Caenorhabditis elegans: one gene and its partner. The protein of the gene in region 2 interacts with the protein of the main gene of each other region in a pairwise test. Each region holds a gene or a part of one and is shown on either strand. Other genes may lie near its edges.

Region 1 (7,793 bases), on a different chromosome or scaffold from region 2:
CAATTTTCAGTATTTTTTCTGAAATATTTGGCAGCATCTGAAAGCATTTTTCAACATCCTGTAAATTTTGGCAAATGTGGGCAATTTTTTTTGCAACACCTGGGCCGGCAATTTCTTAATCACAGCGGTAGCGACGAGAGTTTGAAATTACAGTACTCTTTAGAGACGCAAACCTTTTCGCATTAAATAAAATGAAAGACTAATTTTCAATTGGTCCGTGGGGTGCAAGACTAATAGAGACTAATAGAGGAAATACAGCATATATTTTTATTAGATGGTGCAAAGTCCTATTTTCCCAGAAGATCACATCTTATTAAATTAAGATTCTCTGGTTCGCTGCCCCCTTCTCTTCCAAAGTTTCCTCAAAAATATATCCGAAGGGAAAATAAAAAATAATATGCGCAGACGATAATAAAAAAATATAGACAAAAACCCGATTCTCTAAGAGATCAAGCACGTCGATTACGTTATATTATTTTTCCCCTGTCAAATTTCATTGTTATGCAACATCTGCATGACGTCCATCTTCTGGACAAGACCGAGAGATGATATGGGCGGTCTGTACACGTTTTTTTTCTGTCTTTCAGATATCTCATCGTAATAAGCTTGCAGATATTTTTCTAGTATAGTTTTATCTAACATTTCTGACATTTTCAAAAATTTTCAAAATTGAAGCGAAAAAGTTGGTGGCCGAGTTGTTATTTATTCCCGGCCACATCGCAAAAAAAATCATAATTTACTCTGTTTTTGGAAAATTAGGTAAAAATTACTTTCAAAAACAGTAAACAATGGTTCAAAGTTGCATGTCCAGTTTTTCACTTCGTTCTTGTATACTCCCCCTGGTAAAATGTCTACTTCTATTTGTAAACTTGCTGATTTTTGAATCCTTAATAACTCAGTACCTGTAAGAGATACAAAAATATTGTCAACTATCAAAATAATCAAAATTGTCTCAAAAATATTTTGTCAGTTGACAATATTTTTCCAACTCCTATCCCAACGGAGTTATTCGTTCCATAAGAGATCACATTTTCCACAGACCACACCCCAATTATTTCCAATAAATCAGAAAATAATCAAAGTCCATTATCACTGCTTATCCCGTTAGCCATGTTTCATAGAAGGGCTAAATGATAATGGATTCTTCTTTTTTCAACATTCTCCTTCTCCTTCTTGCCTGTCGGTTTCCTTTTCCGATCCAGAGAAGAAGGGGAAACTTGTCGATTAGCCAGTTCACAAATCAAGAAATACCGGTGGATTCGGAAATTTCTCTTTCTCGAGATTTTTGACATGCTTTCGGTTTGACCCTTCTATGTGTCATTTAAGTTTTTTTTTGTTTATTTTCGTTGGAACATTTTGAAAACTAGTGTAAATCTGTTATTATAAGTTTATTCGTTTATTTAAGTACATTTTCGGTCAGTGGGGTCTAAATAAAAGTTACATTTTTGTGTCCCACTAACTTTTTAACTTTTTTTTGAGAAATTTTCAAAACGTTTCATTAAACGCGGTAGTTTTTGGTCATTTTGGGCATAAAAAGGCAAAGTCTTCAATTTAGGTACTAGAGTTTTTAATATCAGTCCGTCATTTTAGTTTTTGATTTGTTTCCTTTTTTATTTTTAGTTTGTTCCTAAATTCTGAAAGGCTATATCACTATTGTTCTGGATTCTACCAATTAAACTTTGATATAATTTCTTAAAAAATAGTTTGCTCCTAGAAATTGTAAAGTCAAAACCCTTCTTTCTATCCTGTCTGCAACTTTCAATTTTTCAATAAAAACTAAACACAGATATTCTAGATCAATTCCATATGCGAAGGCTTTTGATACATCTAGTTGTCCTTCTAGTACTATTACTAGAAGGACACAATGTTCTAGGGTTTGCAAGTGCGCCAGGGACCTATCCAGAAGAAGAAACACGAGCTGGTAATGATATGGAAGTGCCCAAAAATCCATATGAAAGCACATGGACCGGATATGATTTTTATTATGAAAAGGAGCCAAAGAAGGGTACGTTAGAAAAAATATGCAATTTTTGAAATTTATTTTCCAAATTATTATCAATTTTTCCCTGTAAATGTTGGCCGAGTTTATCTTGCACTTTATATTACGTTTCATTTCCAGATTATCATTTCTCGGCAGTCATGTAGCAAAATCAGAATAGCCTGTCAATAACTTCCTTCTAATTTTCAGTCCCACCCTCCGCAGGCAGCGGAAAAATGCCAGCGTTCCAGTCGATCGCGTCCATCTCAACAGACCGTGAATCTCCAGAAGACCCAGGAAATAGTGGTTATTTAGCGTCCGGAGCCGAATCTGGACCCAAGAAAACCACGTCGAAACCTGCAACAACACCCACTCCAGAACCTACCACTACTCCCGTAGAAGAAGAAAAAGTAAAAGTGTCGCCGAGCAGTAGTACTAAAGGTTGGTGGAAAGTTGAGTTTTGTGGCCACGTAGAAATATCTCACCTATGCACCAGAACACCTAAATAGTGGTTTCACACACACGTGTTTTATAAAACTTCACTCCAGATCCATCAAAGCTGCACAAAACCACCAAAACACCTGTCACTATCACAAATATAATATCAACCACCACTGCACCACCAGCGCCATCTAGAGCACCAGAAAATGATCCGGAATCCGGATCCGACCAATCGGAGAGCACTGATAATTTGGATTTACTTTACGGCGGGGGAAGTTCTGCCACAGCCACCGGGGAGGATAAGAAAGGTATTTGGAATAGGAAAATATAATTGAGTATCTAGAGAATATGTAAAACTAACGTTCTAAATATTTAACATCTGAAAACAATTTTCTAGTAGTGTCACATGTCACATTGTAGATTTTGTGTACTGCCTTTTTCAACTTTTGGAGTTCAAATAAAGATAGGTCTTCTGAATACATGTAGTGGCCATTGTCATCGACATATAAGCGCAAAATAGCGCACAAGTGGACATATAAGCGCAAAATTCAAAGTTAGCCAGATTATCAAACTGTCTTTAAAACCAGCACGGCACTCTACCACTAATAATCCCAACTTTTGCACAGACCCTCCCAAACTGCATGATCCACCTCCACCGCATCCATCTGCACCACAAAACCTTTTAACCCAATTGATTCAAAAGAAGAAGGATGCACCAAACAAAGGATCATCTGAGAAAAGTTCCAAATGGTCAGATGATCATGCTTCCGGGTATCCGGAGGGAAGTGCTCCTAGCGCTGAGCCATCTGAAAACCAGTATGAGCAAGATGGTTCTATTCCATCGTCGAATGACTACAAAGAGCTCACAGATGTACCAGGTACAAAGCCAAGCTCTTCAGCTTCACGTGGTTCAAATATGGCAGGTAACCCCACAGCACCGCTCACCACCACTCAGCACACTTTTGCACCAAACAGCACTGAAACATCAAGATCTTCTACTAGCAGAGGAAAGGCTCCTGGGACCGAACCTAAGTCTGAAGCTCGGTATAGCTCTCAGAATCCTTACTCAGACAACTCGAGCACCCAGAAGCCAGAATACGAATCTGGATACCCAGCGGTGTCTGGAGCAAACTCAAGAGCCCAAATTCCTAATATCACGGACTACACTAAACCATCAGCAGTGTCAATTGAATACGCATCAAGCTCGAAGGAAAGGTCTGATCCTCCATTTTCAACACCCTTAACATCTAATTCACAACATGTACTTACACAGCCAAGGCCAAGGGATTATGAAGATGGCCCGCAGGAGACAACTCGGACAAAAGCTAGTGGCACAAAATCACCTAACTCACTCCAAGCACCTCAACAAACTGCAGCACATCTCATGAAAAATGCCAGAGCACCTGGTCCGGAGCCAAGTCTTCACAGCACTACCACTCACCACGTACAAACACCAATTATCACCATAGCACCCAAGTTTTCAGAACCATCACCATATGCAGAAAATATTATGCTTACACCAAAGCAGGCACCTGGCACCGAACCTCGGTCTAACTCTCAGAACCCTCAAACAGATCGGTTAGCCTCCCAATCAGGATATGAATCCGGCGGGCCTGGACGTCCACAAAATGTTTCAATAAGACACCGAGAGAATCCAAAGGGATCTGATGCAATTTCAAGAACCGCTATTACTCCTTCTAAGATTGATTACTTTGCACCATCGTCACCAACAGGGCCAATTGGATATGAACGTCAAGTCCCGAGTTTCAAGGAAGGACCAGATCATCAATATACAAAATACTCCACGCTCAATTCACCACCTGCACCATCACCACAAGAGTCAAGCACAATCACTCACCATGTCTCCACATCACCCGACTTTTTAGAGCCATCATCAGAAAGTTCTGTGCTCTTACCGAAGCAAGCACCCGGCACCAATCCGAGCACGTCTAATAGTCCACCTGGATATTCTGAACTAATTGGCCCCTCTGGTCCCGGTAATGGTCTACCTGAAGCACCCAGTCACGCCGCACAAAACATTCCCAGAGCACACACGTTTTCAGAGTCACAAGGGTACGAACCGATGGGAAACAATGGGCCAAGTATCTTTGAGGGTCCTGGAACAGAATCTGGATATTCTGAGCCTAAAGCTCTTAGTACTGCGTCACAAAAGACTAAACCAGATGACAAGCCATACGAAATACCACGTAGCATTGAGCCCAGCAATTCGAAACCATATCCATCTGACAGTTCCTGGTCTGACCATGACAATGCTCCTGGCAGTGAGCCAAGCTACATCCCGGACGTTTTAGACTACGGAGCACGAGCCAATAATCACGCGGGCAAAATGATGAATATGTCACATGCCACGTCACCAAGCACCGGTTCACCATCTAACTCGAACAATGCGATTTCCGCACGAGACCCATATGATCACTTTGGCACTATCACTGCACCATCTGACATTCCACGTGCCAATTCAAATTTTGAAGAATACCCGGACGATGGAGGATATGACGGGACGAATGATGTGGCAATTGTGCCTTTGAGGTGATTTTTTGTGGGAAATCGAGTCCTCGATGCATCATGTTTAATCTTGCTCGAAACGCATATATCTCGGAAACTACGAGAGCTATCAAAAAGTTGTCAACTAACAAAATGTATAAAAAAGTTTGGCGAACAATTTGTCAGTTAATAACTTTTTATAGACTTAATAGTTTTGGAGAAAAATCAAGATACAATTAGGCACACACTTTTCAGAACACAGCACGGCACAAATCCTTCCACCATCACTACCACGAACACTCAAGTGAGAGCACAAATTTCAGAAATTGATCGGATTGCTGGTAAATAATATCGATATTCCAAAAATTTTTGGAAGAAAAATATGAATCTTACATTATTTCAGAATCTTTCGAGAACTCGGCGCGGGAACCTGTGGAGTATGAACAGCGAATTACTAGTGAATCATCGAAGGGAATTACAGCTGTAACCGGAAAAGATTTTATGGTTTTATTTTAAAATTTCAGCCGATTTTTTTGAAATATAATAAAAATTAAACATTACAGAAGAAGCTTGGAAGAAAGTCGCCAACATGTTGCTCATGTTGTGACGAGAAGCAGTCTGTGAGCAGAAATATTGAGACACAGGTTTAAAAAAAAGCAGCACTGTTTTAAACTTAATAATTTCTAGGCTGACCCATTGCATGTTCAACACGCAGTCGACCCATCACGGCAGTTAGGTACGTAAGTTTCCTCAAGACTCCCCCGTTGGTCACAAAAATAGGTTCGAATCCTGCCGTGGTCGAAACTTTTTTTTGCAGTCGAATCCGAGCCAGTGCAGAACTTTGTCCCTCTCCAGAACACCGTTGGAGGGAACGCCTATATTCAGCCACAACCAGTCGCTCAACAACAGTAAGTCTTTGTTTTAAATGGAAATATGTCACTTTTTTTCCAGAACCATCTACCAACAACCTTTCCAGCAATACCAACCACAGTACCCACAATCTTATCAGCAACCATCCTGCGGGTGCCAGCCACAGCCTCAAAACTGTTGTGCTCCACCTGCTCCTTGCTGTCTCCGTAAGTGACATAAATAATCCGTACAATTCATTCTTAGAACTATCTTTGTTCAGCAACAATTCCATGTTGTCCACCAATACCTTGCTGCCCGCAACCGAAGATTTGCTGTCAGCCAGCGCCAGTCTGTCTCCCTCCACCAACTTGTTGCTCGATTAACTTTAAACTTCCGACTATTCCAATCTGTGGTAGAGCCTGCCCATCGTGTCCATGTCGACGGAGAATGCACAAATCACGTCGTCTCAAGCGTCACTCAATTAACTCGAACTGTCATCAGTGCTCTTCTGCCGGTGAGCCATGGAGATCTGTGTTGCATCACCGAGAGAAACGTGCAGCTCCGGGATGCACTTCCGGTTTTTCGACGATGGTATGACGTTTCAGAGTGAATGGATAGAACTAAAACTCCACTTTTCAGAGTCAAAATTCGTGTGGCACATGTGGAGCGTCAAATCTCAGATCGCCACGTGTCAAGCGTATGGGATGTCTGCCGTGTCTGGGAAGAAAGAAGCGAGATACCGATGAGAATTCTCATATTAGAGTGAAGAGAATGGTGAGTACTGCGAGCTCACAAAAAATCAATTATCAATTTTCTTACAGGGATGTCTTCCATGCCTGGGTCGTAAGAAACGCAGTACCCTATCACAATCGGGATGTTCTCAATGTAATAGTATGGGTCATTTGTTCAATCGCTACAAGAGGAGTCTATTTGGAGGATGTTCGCCGTGTGCACCACAGGTATGAGATTCACGCCTCCCCCAACTTGACTCGAAAAATGCCTCCAATTAAATGCTAGGTGGAATTCAAATTTAGAAAGTACAATGTAAATAAGTAGCTAACAATAAGATTATAACTTTTGAATAACTTGAAAATCAGTTATGACAAAATGTATACGAAGTTCCGAGTTCCCATGTTACGCCTTGGCCAGGTGAAACTCAACATTGTAATACGAAAACCAACTCTCAAATCTTGACACTTTTCAGCAACCCTGCGGATGTGGCCGTAAGAAGCGATCGGTCACCATGAAGCTCGTCAAGAGAGCTCCGATGCAGTGTGACTCCACATGTTGCGACTTTTCAAGGTGAGCACATCTAAGTATTGACTGTAGTGTAACTAACATTTCCTATATTTCAGATGTCCATATCGCCAGAAGAAAGAAGCGCTGGTGCCGTTTATGTAGAGCTCACAGATGATAAGATCACATCGACGGGTTGTACATACCTCATAGAATCATCATATTGACTGCTTATTTCTCAGAGTGTTTTTGAAACATATTATTAATACAATAAATTGCAATAGTTCATTTTTGAAAATCTAACAAAAAAGTAGTAAGATTAGAAGGACAGAAAAGGAACCGGGTCACCCGAAATTGATGGGATTATGGGCCGGAATGATTGTGTGTGTGAAATTGGAATTATTCAAGGAAGACAACTAGAGATCGCAAGTGATTGTTTAAAAAAATATAAATAAGAAAAAATCTAAAAAGTTATGGACTATGGCTTTTCAAAAACCCATTAATTTTCATGTTCAGAAATTCGTTTGGACTACTCGACGATGCTATTTCAGACGCTAGAGATTGATGTTGTTGTTGATCATCGTAGAGTTGGAGCTGGCGTTGATAACTGGCAATTTCCAGACGGAGAGCCTGAAATTAATATCAATTGTGATCTGAAACAGGGGTGGGCTGCAAACGATTTTTCCGGCAAATCGGCAAATTTCCGGAATTGAAAACTTCTGGCAAATCGACAAGTTGCCGGAATTGAAAACTTTTGGCAAATCGACAAGTTGCCGGAATTGAA
Region 2 (4,618 bases):
GACGTCAAGACAATTGGATGAGTTGACGCAGTCTTCGCAAGATATTTTCTGAAAAATTTTAATATTGCAAGTATTTATTATGAACGAATTTTGAATAAAAAACTAAAACACTCACACTCTGAGAGAATCCGTCGATTCCAGAAGTTGTAAAAGATGGAAACGTTCCTAATGTGGGAATAGGGGTTGAAGGCTCATCCACCGTTTCGCAGTGGACGCCACCAAAGCCTGATGTGCAATGACAGAAGTATTGTCCATCTGAAAAATTGTAAAACTTTAAAGAGTATCAGTATCAGCACAAAAATTAATTTACAGCTCCCTAAAAAACTCTATTCTTTTTCTTATTACCTGCATCTTGGCAAGTTCCTCCATTTTGACAGGGATTAATTGTGCATCCAGATTTTGGCTCACAGAACGGTCCATCAAACCCTTCTTCACATACACAAAACGGTTCCCCTTCTGCGTCGAGTTTACAGCTTCCACCATTCAAACATCGAATGTCACTGCATGTTGGATGTGACCGATATGAATTACTTATTTCACAATTGGACCCATTGAATCCTTCCGGACACTGGCAGGTAGTTGCGGCTAACGCGAACACACACTTTCCCCCATTCTTACAATCCGATCCATTAACCAGACAATCAACAGGCTCTCCACAATAGATGCCGGTAAAAGAGGGAAGGCAAAAGCAGGTGAAGAGATTCTGCCCGTCGTCGACGCAGTGACCCCCATTAAGACACGGCTCACGATCGCATGGACGAGCTTGCAACTCTTTACAGTCGGCACCCTGCAATTAAACGATAGATTGCGCGAGGGACCCATATCCGAACATGCCCAGATTATTCGTCAAACGTACCATAAACCCCGAAGGACACTCGCATTGCGTTGTCCTTGACGTCCCGTTTACGAGTGAACAAACATGAGCCGGGTTTTCACATATACACTCGTTAACCTGAGAAAAAACACAAGCAATTAACAGTGAGAAAATTGGTGTTACCTCTGCTTTGAGCTCGCAGAATGCACCATCAAACCCGGGAGAGCACTTGCAGGAGAGATCGGAGCCAGTCGAAATGCATTGACCATTGTTGTGACAATAATCAGAAGTGCATTGTTTCTTGTCTTGGATTTCACAGTATTTACCTAGAAGAAATTGTGAAAACATGTTTCTTCTTAGTTTTCTTTTGTTTTTATAAAATAATTTATTCGAATGTAAACTCTCAACAAATCAGCAACGTTAACAAAATTGAGAAAATAATAAGAAAGTTGAAAACTATAAGTATTGCAAAAAAACTGGGTATTTGTCCAAATATCATAATAAAACTTTTTGAACAACCTGAAGAAATGATTTTATTTCGAGCCAAAAGGGATCAACATGACAATGCTTCAGATTTGTCGAAACGTGGCAAAAACATGTATGCGATTTTTGACTCGAGATAAAAAATCCCCGAATTGTTTAGAAAATTTTTTATGACATTTGGTCATTTAGCACCTTATAAATGATTTTTGATCAAATTCACACTAGTCTTATTGAAAAAATCTAACTAAACGTTTTTCAAACTTCAGGTTTTTTTTTCACAATTATGTCTACTGGAAAACTATATTTCATCCTTCCCATCCAAATTTTCAAACCAAAACTCACCAGAAAATCCTTTTAAACATTTGCATTCATAACTTCCTTTCAAATTTTCACAATCTGCTCCATTCTGACAAAAATTTTCTTTGCACTCGTCCTCGTCAGTTTCACAGTGATCTCCAACAAATCCAGGTGGGCAGGCACATTTTACATTTCCCTGAACATTCTATTGGTTTTTATCACTCTGGACTCAAGTCACTCACGTTCTCGGCAACACAAGTGCCGTTATTCTGACAAGTGTGTGTTGCGCAAGACGGCTCGTTGCTCTGGCAAATGTATGATCCGTCGGCTCCTTTTGTGCATCTATAAAAAACATACATGTTTTTGGTTTGCACAAGGTCATGTATACCTTTCGTCATCGCCACATTGCGGTGAGCACTTTTGAGCAGTGTCATCATCAGTAACTAGATTATCACAAAGTGAGCCCATCCATCCTTCGGAGCACTGGCAAGTTTCTTCGCCAAACGTTCCTTTCACGCAGTTACCGTGGAGACAGTGCAAAGAGCAGTTGTCCTGACATAGCAACCCACTGAAACCCTTCGGACATTCACACTGAAACATTCGCGTCTCATCGTTCACTGTGCAAGTTCCGCCGTTAAGACATGTGTTCCGACTGCACGCTCTGTTACATAGTGCTGAAAAGAGTTTTAGTGACAGCTTGTGGTATTCATCTGTCTTAATGATAATGATGGATTACTTTTTGCAAAAAGTCAGTTGGTAGTTTTGTCCAAGTTTTAGATTGGAACTGATCTTTGGAAAACAAAATTTAGAAATTTATTTTGTTTTTTGGTATGAAATATACGAGCTTCATTTAATTTTCAGAGAAAGAAGTCATGTGTTTTATTGAAAAGGTCTGGGCTTCTGAAATAATTGTTAACCGACAAATATGTTAATAGTTATTTGTTTACAATTTTAGTTGAAAATATATAAACGATTACAAAATCAAAGAAGAGATGGGCTGCAAAAATTGAGAGTTTTCAGATACAACAATGCTCAACACTTAAAAGCCCAAAATCAACTTTCTCAAACATATTTTGAATTTAAATTAGATTTTCAGTTTTTGAGATGTTCACTTAAACTTCGTGTTATACATTTCTATCTCTCATCTAGTCTAAACCAAAACTTTTCACACTCAGATCAATCAGTCTGTGAAACCGAATGACATCATATCTTAGTAGTAGACTTACCATTTGTAACCAGGGTACAAAATATGAGAAAATGTTGATATTTCATGAGTGGTAGATCATTGAATGCAGATCCCAAATAGGAGTAATGACGGCAGCTAGTCGAATTGTTTTGTGTTTGGAGGTAAAAAAGGTAGTTTGCCGCTTGACGATTGTTCTTCTGTACCGCACACGCTAGCTGCCGGAGTGACGCGAGAGAGAAAGAGAAGGTCCTAGAGAGCCAGGTGTATTGTCGGATAATAAGCAGGTAATTAGAACGGAAGAGGAAACACGGGCAAGAGAGATGAAGGGGGGGGGGGGGGGAATCTCGTGGTTGCCAGGGGTCAGCTAGCTGCCCTGTGGCATTTCGACGGTAATTTGGAAATAGTAGGGAAAGTTTCAGTTGACCGAGTGATTGAAGATATACAAAATTTTCAAACGTTTATAAAAAGTGAAAACATAGAAATTCAGCGTTTAGTTAAAAAAAAAGGTTTTCGAGAGTATTTGTACAATTTCGACATTTTTTTTGTGCTCGTTTCAGTTTGGCAGCTCATGCTTTTGATTTTACTTTTAATTGTCGTCTGATAAAATATTTCCTACTTTTTTTTATTATCATCTAGTTCCTAATGTACTTGTATGTGTTAATAAAATTAGCTGAAATATGGGGTTTTATCCCATAACAAGCGACAATATTGTTTTATTGTGATTTCAGGAGTTTTTTTATTTAAAAGAAATAAGAATGAACAAGCTTAATTATGCGTAAGTACAAATTCAAAATACTCAAAAAGTGCTGGGTCCACTTGAATTACAGCAAAAAACCCTCAGCAGCTAATTAGTTCCAAACAATTTCCGGCTGTCAACATCTCCAACATCTATATATTTTATGTGTAGTAGGTCGGATATTATACAGACAATTTTCAAATGATGAGACTAGTTTCACCCGGCACGCACACGGAAAAAAGAAGGGGATAGCAAAAAAGTGAAGCGAAAAGGACAGTGTGTTTGTCCTGTTATGCGGAAAAATGAGATTTGCTGGGGTTACCGATATCGAAATACGTTTTTAGAAAATATTTGGATGAAAATTCAAATAAAAATTTCCGAAATAAAAACGGCAAAAGCAAAAAAGTTTAGTAGTTCCGTTTAGACGGGACAAACTTTGCTGAGAAAATTGAGTAGAAATGAAGGCCAAGGCGGAGCACAGTTGACAAATGACCGCGCATTTGGAAATGGCAAACTGTCGGAATTTCATGGAAAAATACCAACAAGTGAATCAATTACATAATTTTAAAAAGTGAAATTCTCAAATGTTTCAAAGATAGTTGGGGAATTTCAAACTACCTCCCAATAATACTCAAGAGACGCAAAGTTTTTGAACTTACTTGTTATGCTATCAGTTATGTTTTTTGGAAATGTTGGAGGTCACAAACCTTAAAATTGATTCTGATATATATTTTTGATTAATCAAAAAATTACAGTTCATTGTGAACATTTTACGCTCAAAAATATGTTGCCAACATTTTCAAAATAGGGAATCTTCTCAAATAACTGAAAAGTTCAAATTTTCAATTCACGGTAACATGATGAAATAAATTTTTAAAAAACAACTTTTAAAAACAACTTTTTTTTCAATTTAATAAAAATTCAGTTGATAAACATTGAATAATTAAACTTAGTTTTTGTGTTGATATTTGTTGAAATGCTAAATTTTTAAAACCAAGAGATTATTTGGATTCAAATTTCAAATTACAAATTGATCTGACGATTTTTTGTCGTTCCTAAAAAAAATGCTAAAATTGTACTTACGGAAAACAACAATTTTGAA

The links. Proteins that work in one complex are often made in the same cells at the same time.
Region 1: the proteins of crb-1 (region 2) and K08E7.5 interact in a two-hybrid assay, tested with the Caenorhabditis elegans proteins (one large-scale study listed by BioGRID).

What each region holds. Positions count from the first base shown.
Region 1 is NC_003282.8:12,571,575-12,579,367, forward strand, and holds K08E7.5 (Prion-like-(Q/N-rich)-domain-bearing protein), read left to right. Parts: upstream 1-1,793; 5' UTR 1,794-1,806; coding exon 1,807-2,005; intron 2,006-2,188; coding exon 2,189-2,419; intron 2,420-2,526; coding exon 2,527-2,727; intron 2,728-3,045; coding exon 3,046-4,969; intron 4,970-5,179; coding exon 5,180-5,265; intron 5,266-5,327; coding exon 5,328-5,428; intron 5,429-5,487; coding exon 5,488-5,568; intron 5,569-5,611; coding exon 5,612-5,660; intron 5,661-5,741; coding exon 5,742-5,832; intron 5,833-5,875; coding exon 5,876-6,000; intron 6,001-6,053; coding exon 6,054-6,364; intron 6,365-6,412; coding exon 6,413-6,547; intron 6,548-6,594; coding exon 6,595-6,732; intron 6,733-6,977; coding exon 6,978-7,075; intron 7,076-7,128; coding exon 7,129-7,174; 3' UTR 7,175-7,296; downstream 7,297-7,793. Other genes in the region: K08E7.6 (Myb_DNA-bind_5 domain-containing protein), read right to left, coding at 7,481-7,639.
Region 2 is NC_003284.9:17,410,984-17,415,601, forward strand, and holds the start of crb-1 (uncharacterized protein), read right to left. Parts: upstream 3,032-4,618; 5' UTR 2,867-3,031; coding exon 2,821-2,866; exon of another isoform or gene 2,709-2,820; intron 2,269-2,708; coding exon 1,983-2,268; intron 1,937-1,982; coding exon 1,837-1,936; intron 1,791-1,836; coding exon 1,640-1,790; intron 1,141-1,639; coding exon 998-1,140; intron 953-997; coding exon 857-952; intron 788-856; coding exon 346-787; intron 256-345; coding exon 116-255; intron 49-115; coding exon 1-48.